2 linked regions of the Xenopus tropicalis genome follow. The protein of the gene in region 1 interacts with the protein of each later gene in a pairwise test. Links are inferred from orthologs where the notes say so. Each region holds a gene or a part of one and is shown in the gene's direction. Other genes may lie near its edges.

The links. The genes of interacting proteins can lie anywhere in the genome.
Region 2: the proteins of rpp30 (region 1) and rpp14 interact in binary tests that used the Homo sapiens proteins (3 or more experiments, as listed by UniProt). The link is inferred for Xenopus tropicalis from reciprocal best matches to the Homo sapiens genes RPP30 and RPP14.

Annotation. Positions count from the first base shown.
Region 1 is NC_030683.2:36,827,673-36,831,322, forward strand, and holds part of rpp30 (ribonuclease P protein subunit p30), read left to right. Parts: intron 1-384; coding exon 385-459; intron 460-2,177; coding exon 2,178-2,249; intron 2,250-3,514; coding exon 3,515-3,604; intron 3,605-3,650. UniProt on the Homo sapiens protein: Component of ribonuclease P, a ribonucleoprotein complex that generates mature tRNA molecules by cleaving their 5'-ends. Also a component of the MRP ribonuclease complex, which cleaves pre-rRNA sequences.
Region 2 is NC_030680.2:148,464,557-148,468,888, forward strand, and holds the start of rpp14 (ribonuclease P protein subunit p14), read left to right. Parts: upstream 1-1,407; 5' UTR 1,408-1,494; intron 1,495-2,751; 5' UTR 2,752-2,761; coding exon 2,762-2,853; intron 2,854-2,948; coding exon 2,949-3,033; intron 3,034-3,623; coding exon 3,624-3,700; intron 3,701-4,332. Other genes in the region: protein SCO2 homolog, mitochondrial, read right to left, coding at 1,051-1,052. UniProt on the Homo sapiens protein: Component of ribonuclease P, a ribonucleoprotein complex that generates mature tRNA molecules by cleaving their 5'-ends.

The DNA of each region.
Region 1 (3,650 bases):
TCAGAGACAAACAGCATAAGCAACAACAGAAATGTTCTGGGTAACAATATATGCCTCCAAAACTGTCCATCTTATTGAACCCCCAAAGCCAATCCAAGGGTCTTTGTGTGCCAATAGCCATTTTTGCATGATACTTCAAAAGGAGTGCAATCTCCCAAAATACGGAGCACCAAGCATACAGTACTGAGGCCTGGGTGTGCACGTGATATTTCTTCTTTAGCTTATTGAACATACAGCCTGGTGGATTTTTTGCTAGTAGGAATGTTTATAGAATTTTGTAGTACTTAAAAAGTTCAAGCAACATGGAAAATAAATGATAGTGTTTTTTTGTTTTTTTTTAAATAATGTATTTCAGTAAATTAAAATTCCTTTTGATCTCTGCAGGGAAAATCCATACCCATCAAAATCCTCACCAGACTAACAATTATTGCATCAGACCCCTCTCACTGCAATGTGCTGGTAGGTTGCTTGTTTTCTTAATGTATGTGTTTACTTGAGCGCAGGTTGAGCTATACATATAGAAAGATACATAAGAGAAGCCTGAGATAAATCTGAGGAAAACATTTGCAGATTAGTCGTCCATAGTATCGAAGAATTATCATGGGCAACTTAGCCTTAGATTTAAAGTTTATGTATGTTATTTCATATTGTTATGTTATTAGGGACGTTATACATTAGGGTATGCATTTGCTTTTGAGTTTAAACTTGTTATGTAAGAACTCCTGTGCACCTGTTTAGTAGAGTTACACTGGAATGATTGCCATTTATTTTATATCACAGTGGAGGCCATTGAAATAATAATGTGAACAAAATGCCCCATGTAGAAACTGGCATAGATAGTAACCGTTTCACTAAATAAACACATTTCTAAATATTATCATTAATTAGCCTAAATACTATACATAAAAAATCAATTACTGCTATGTGAGGCAAACTAAAATACATTTTTATTTGTCTTTTCTTGTTGGCTTATAACTGGCTGAGTATAATTGCAAGCCGAGAATCAGCTGATCTAATGGCCTCTGCTGGCTCCTGTGACTGCACTGAGAGGCCTGGGTGCAGACACACAGAGCATATTTCGGTATGATAATGTATATTCTCTTGTTTCTGTGATGAAATCTGTTTCATTTGTATGCTCCAGGCCATTGCATTGCCTCTTGGTGCAGTCACAAGAGCCAGCAGAGGCCAGTCGATCGGCTGATTCTTGCACCATGTGCAAATAGCTTAAGGTTTGTTCTATGCACTTAAAGTTAAAAGGAAACTAAAGGCCCCAGAAAAGTATATGTTGTTTTTTGTTAGCATTAATGAATGTGACTGCTGTGCCACTTCCTGTGAGTTCCAGTCCCATGCAACTTCAATTTCATCCCCCTCTTCAATTAGCTTTAAGGTTCTATCGGCGCAACCCATTTTCTTTGCTTCTTTTGTGGCCGGCAGCTGGCGCAATTTAACAGCTGGTTGAATCTTTCCACCACTAATAGCTTTAGCTACCCTAGGCCTGGTCCTATGTGGCCTTCCCAAAAAGTCAAGGGTTCTATTCACCCATTTATTCTAGTGACCACTGGCTACCCTTACTCTAAAACTTTATAAACCTTTATCCAACAACATAGGTTTGTGTTTCTACATCAGTGACTACACTTAAATAGGGGAATGTAATAAAAGTCTTAAACAGCAAAAGTTCACACAAATAAGTATAAAAATTTGCATTTTGCAATGTAATATTGTTAATTACACTGTTATTGCATTGCAAACTTTTAAGACATGCTTGAAGGGGTATATTGAAGGGGTATAACCTTTTGGAGCTAACTTAACAAGTTTTTCAGTAAGAAGGTTTATTATATACACTGTGCACTTATTGTCGCAAATAATAATATTCACAAACTTTCTTCCACTGTCTGAAATGGTTGCAAAAACGTTTCTGTGTTCGCAAAGCCCATATTTGGTGCAAAGGCAGACTTGTTCACACAGAGGCATAAATGTTCACGTTGCTTGGTGACTACTAGGATCCTTATAAAGTCCATCAGGGGCTTCATTAGCAACTCTGTAACTACAGACTATAACTACATTCTTGTGTAATACTTTTAATTACTTGTAATTACAGTTAAATATGTTCATTTTAAAGCTCTTCAACCCCATTTCTGTTAGCTAATTTACATGTGATTGCGCTTTGTGTTTGACAGAGATCAACCTCACCATCTACCCGGTTGTATGATATTGTGGCTGTTTTCCCAAAGACAGAGAAGCTGTTTCATGTAAGTAGGACATTTTGAGAAGATTGATACCATTGTGATTCCAGAGGGATGATCACAGGCGCAGTAATACACTAGTGATCATTAACCTGCAGCTGTTGTCAGATTGCAACTCCCATGGTGCTGCTGGAAATCTCAGCTCTCACTGCCATTTATCTCTCTTGGTCAGCTTTTCTTGTTCTGTTTGCACGACATTTTTTGGGGCTGAGGGCTAAATATAGACTTCATATTGAGGCATAATTATTTAAGCACCCAAACACAACTTGAGCTTTTTGAAAAGAAAAATAATTTCAAGCAACTTTGCAATATACATTATTTAAATAAATATGCAGCCTTTTTCTTATTTTTAATGTAATAATAAGGTTTAAAACAGTTACCTAAGCCTGCCCCCCTGTTTCCTGATTTGGCTGACTAATTTAAATGTAACAGTAGTCGACTGTCCTCAGCCTGCCTTCAGCCTGCATCCTCCAAATTTTACAATTGCCTGCACATCTAATGTCATTAAAAAAAGGAACACCACAGTGCAATGCATTGTGGGTTATGTAGTTCCCGCATGCTGTCTGTAAGCAGTGGAGACGTTGTTACAATTTGTAACATCAAAGTTTTAGTCCCTCCTCCTGCCAGGATTTCAAACGATGCAGAAAGAGAAGAACTGTTTTGCAGCTGGATTTTAGCACATAAAAATGGTATTTATTTTTTACTTTTTAAAGGAACGGAATACAGTGATTGGTATATTAGGGGTTTCTAAGTTGTGTGGGGCTCTTGAGAAAATTTTGATTTGGAAGCCGGAGTTCCCCTTTAATGATCCATTCCATTTGTTGAAAGCATAATTTCCTTAATGTGTTCTTTACCTTTTTATGGAGGCATCGTTTGTAACAGGTGCTTCTGTCTCGCAACCAAACCAGTCTCCATGGCATCAAACAATGTGCTAGTACTGCCCTGATATCGTCAACTCATTATTATTGCTGGAGATGGTTCAAGCAACGTGATATCAAGACCATTACAGCTATGCCAGCTTGATGTTTGGAATAAACCTCTTCATTTAGCCTACCCTGGGTCAAAATGATATCACTTGAAGTTTCTATGGCAACAGCCAGCTTTATAAGTCTGAGTTACATGAATTCGCCTGCTAGTTGAACTTGTATCTTGTCATTATGACTGCATGAGAATGCAGGGAATCGTACTTATGTAATAGCTGGAGAACTGCAATGAATTGTATTGTTTGTAATTGATAAACTTTTTACAATTCTTTGTGTTTATCCTGCCAGGCTGCTTGCACTAGTATTGACGTGGACCTCATATGCATCAACGTAACAGAAAAAGCTCCCTTCTTTTTCCGAAGGCCTCCTATTAATGCTGTAAGGTTTGGTATTTTGTGATGGATCTACTTGGGGCTCCTTGTGG
Region 2 (4,332 bases), on another chromosome or scaffold:
GTAAGCTCTTTTGGGCAGGGCTCTCTTCCCCTCTTGTATCGGTTACTGATTGCTTTATATGTTACTCCTTGTAGAGTGTAAGCTCTTTTGGGCAGGGCTCTCTTCCCCTCCTGTATCGGTTACTGATTGCTTTATATGTTACTCCTTGTAGAGTGTAAGCTCTTTTGGGCAGGGCTCCCTTCCCCTCCTGTATCGGTTACTGATTGCTTTATATGTTACTCCTTGTAGAGTGTAAGCTCTTTTGGGCAGGGCTCTCTTCCCCTCCTGTATCGGTTATTGATTGCTTTATATGTTACTCCTTGTAGAGTGTAAGCTCTTTTGGGCAGGGCTCCCTTCCCCTCCTGTATCGGTTACTGATTGCTTTATATGTTACTCCTTGTAGAGTGTAAGCTCTTTTGGGCAGGGCTCCCTTCCCCTCTTGTATCGGTTATTGATTGCTTTATATGTTACTCCTTGTAGAGTGTAAGCTCTTTTGGGCAGGGTTCCCTTCCCCTCCTGTATCGGTTACTGATTGCTTTATATGTTACTCCTTGTAGAGTGTAAGCTCTTTTGGGCAGGACTCTCTTCCCCTCCTGTATCGGTTACTGATTGCTTTATATGTTACTCTGTATGTCCAATGTATGAAACCCACCTATTGTACAGCGCTGCGGGATATGTTGGCGCTTTATAAATAAATGTTAATAATAATAATAATAATAATAATCATTCCCATTTGACTAAATTTGGCAGATTATATAAAGTTTGAACACATGTCTGGGGGTTTGGGGGGTTTTATGTGTAATTACAGTTTTGCTAATGAAGGTGAATTTGCCCTTTAAGCTGTGAGTCTCAGTTCCCCCAAGAGAGCTGTTTAGCTTATTAGTTACAGTTGTATCTCAGTGCAGGGGGTGAGTATTCTGGGCTCTGCCAAAAGCTACTTATATAATTACGTTTGAGAAACTTTGTATCTTTTTTGGGGTTCAGTGCAGGAGAGGAAAGGGAAATGAGGGCTTTTTCAATGGGGACTGCGGCCTGAGCTGTTACAGGACAGTTGGGAGGAATAGAACTCACATGGGATCCGGGCACCACACTCCTTCCCCTTGTCTGTCTCTCCTCTCTGCAGCCCAGCTTCCGGCTTAGCTGGTCACATGCTCCCTCTACGGGTGCCTGACTGGGACAAACCTCTCAGCAACGCACAATCCCAGTGCAGAAACGTACCAAGCAGTGTTTCATGTACAGTAACGCTATGGCCCCAAAAAACTGCTATTGAGACAATTAGTATTTAATCCACAGGGAACAAAATTTGAAAATATGGAAAGGCTCACGTTGGTACAATTCCTCAGGGGTTCTAAATCGGTATATGAAACACTGCTTCATGCGCTTCTGTAATGGGAATGTGCCATTTTGGGAGGTTTGTCCCAGTGAGGCACCAGTAGAGGGAGCATGTAACCAGCTAAGCAGGAAGCCGGGCTGTAGAGAGGAGTGGGAGGAGCTTAAGCTGTGCATGGATCCCATGTGAGTATGTACCAGTAGGAGTGGGAAATGCCTGGGTTCCAATCACTGCCCAATCATTGTTTTCTCTTTATCTTCTGAAGGAAACAGCACTGAGCCCATAGGGCAGGGATCCCCAACCTTTAATACCCATGAGCCACATTCAAATGGAAAAAGGGTTGGGGAGCAACACAAGCATAAAAGAAGTTCCGGGGGTGCCAATAAGAGCTATGGTTGGCTATTTGGTAGCCCCTATGGGGACTGGCAGCCTACAGAAGGCTCTTTGTGACATTAAATTGGGTTTTTATGGAATATAAACTTGCCCCCAAGTCAGTAATTCAAAAATAACTCCCTGGTTTGGGGGCACTGAGAGCAACATCCAAGGGGTTGGGGAGCAACATGTTACCCCTGAGCCACTGGTTGGGGATCCCTGCCATAGGGGAACATACATACATTGTATTGGGGGCTTCAGGGGTATTTGTGTGTGTATATAATGAGCTGCTTTTTTATAATTTAGGGGCAGAGAAAGGGCACATTTTGGTGGGTTTGGGGTTCGTCTTAATTGTGCTCCTACAAACAGGTCACCAAATGGGACTTTACTTTAGATAAAGAGAATTATACTATTTCCTAATTATGTTAACGAGGAAAAGTGTGTTTAATACAAGCTGTATGCATTGGAACAGTGTTAACAAAAAAGAGGGTGTACTGGGGAGTTTGCCTGCAAATGAAGTTTGTTTTATAACATGCAGTGATCTCAGCCAGCCATGCGTGGTTGCTAGGGGAATTAAGTCCTAGCTGCCAGGCAGCTGTTAAAGTTTCAGGCTGCACAACAGAAAAAAACTAAAAACATTTATGCTGTAAAAATGATTTGCCTTACCATATTGCTGTCTACACTGTAATACAGATTCATTTAAAGTTGAACGTCCCCTTTCATTTGTATAATGCCCCTCTGTAGTCTGACTATTGTTTGGGTGCTAGGGTCGCTGACATGGTATTATGTCTCAGCCTACACTGGCAAATGGGTCTGTGCTGTGTAAACACTGGATAGTTATCAGCGCCCATAGCAACTGGGTTCCAGTTTAAATTCCAGGCCAGATAGGTAAATAATGCAGAATGCCGGGAAAAATCAAAACACTGATAAAAATATAATGAAAGTGACCATTGGCATTGAGTTGTCATTGCTCCAGTTCTGTGCTGGAAATAAACAGTTAATATAAAGGGTATATTTCCTTTTATTTGATTTACTGTGCTTCTCCAATCACAACTTTCCTTTATGTACAGGCACGGGAGGATGAGAGAGCAACCCAAACTAGCCGGGCCCACGAGCTATGAGCGAATAGTGCTGAAGAACCCGTCCGAGCACCATTACATGAAGGTTCAGCTGTAAGTAATATATATATATATATATTTAATTAATGCCACCTACTTTATCTATAACAGCACATCCACCCTACTAATATACCCCTTGCACCTTGCAGTGAATTTAATGGAGAAGGGGCCCAGCTCAGTGCCACACAATTCAAGCTACTGGTAGTCTCTGCCCTGAAGAACCTGCACGGAGAGGTAGGTGCCCGACTTCCTCACTTGTAGTCCTTCTCCTTTTTCATACGCAGTAATGCTGTGCATTTGGGGATTAAATTAAAGTGTACCTGCCCTATTTATATGTTTGGTACTTTCCTCTTCTCTGTTTTTGGGAGCTGCATTTACTTTACTTGGCTCGGGCAGTGGAAGTAGACCCTGCGACCTCAGTATTGTCCATATAATTCTAAGGGCAAGTACAGACTAAACTGGAACTAAGCACTATATATATCTATATATATATATATATATATATATATATCAGACACAGAACAATAGAGCAAGATGTAGCAGTCTTCACACTTGGCTGATCCCTTATGTACAGTACAGCAGAATATGTCAGTGCTATTACTTACCCTTAGACCCACTTATAGGCACCAGCCTATGCCAAACTCTGTGCACACATCCATGTTTTTTTCCAAGAGTCCCCACAATTCTGGCTTCATTGTTTACACTGTAAAATGCTTATACCCCCCTGTTAGGCACAAGGCAAAAGGGAGCATGAACGTTTTACAGTGCAAACATGGCTTCCGTCGAACATTTGTATGAACTGTAGTGTCCTTGTTCTACTCCAGGTGGGATCGTCTCTTCCTTTGGATCTGTTGAGTTTTGATGAAAAGACACTGTGTGCAGTACTGAGGGTCTGTAGCAGGTAGGTGGCAGTTAGATGTTGCATGCTTTTAGAATCCTATGTGTTGTTACCCTTAGTTATCTCAGAACACTGCAGTAAATGTTGTTACCCCTCAAATGAGACAGAGAAAGGCCTATTTACTTTATTTATATAACTCTAACATATTCATCAGTGCTTTGCAGAAGTTATATGTTATTCCCATCAGCTCCTGCCCAAGTGGAGCTTACAGTCTAAGGTCCCTATCACATTCCCATCAGTCCCTGCCCAAGTGGAGCTTACAGTCTAAGGTCCCTATCACATTCCCATCAGTCCCTGCCCCAGTGAGCTTACAATCTAAGGTCCCTATCACATTCCCATCAGTCCCTGCCCCAGTGAGCTTACAATCTAAGGTCCCTATCACATTCCCATCAGTCCCTGCCCCAGTGAGCTTACAATCTAAGGTCCCTATCACATTCCCATCAGTCCCTGCCCCAGTGAGCTTACAATCTAAGGTCCCTATCCCATTCCCATCAGCCCCTGCCCCAGTGAGCTTACAATCTAAGGTCCCTATCACATTCCCATCAGTCCCTGCCCCAGTGAGCTTACAATCTAAGGTCCCTATCACATTCCCATCAGTCCCTGCCCCAGTGAGCTTACAATCTAAGGTCCCTATC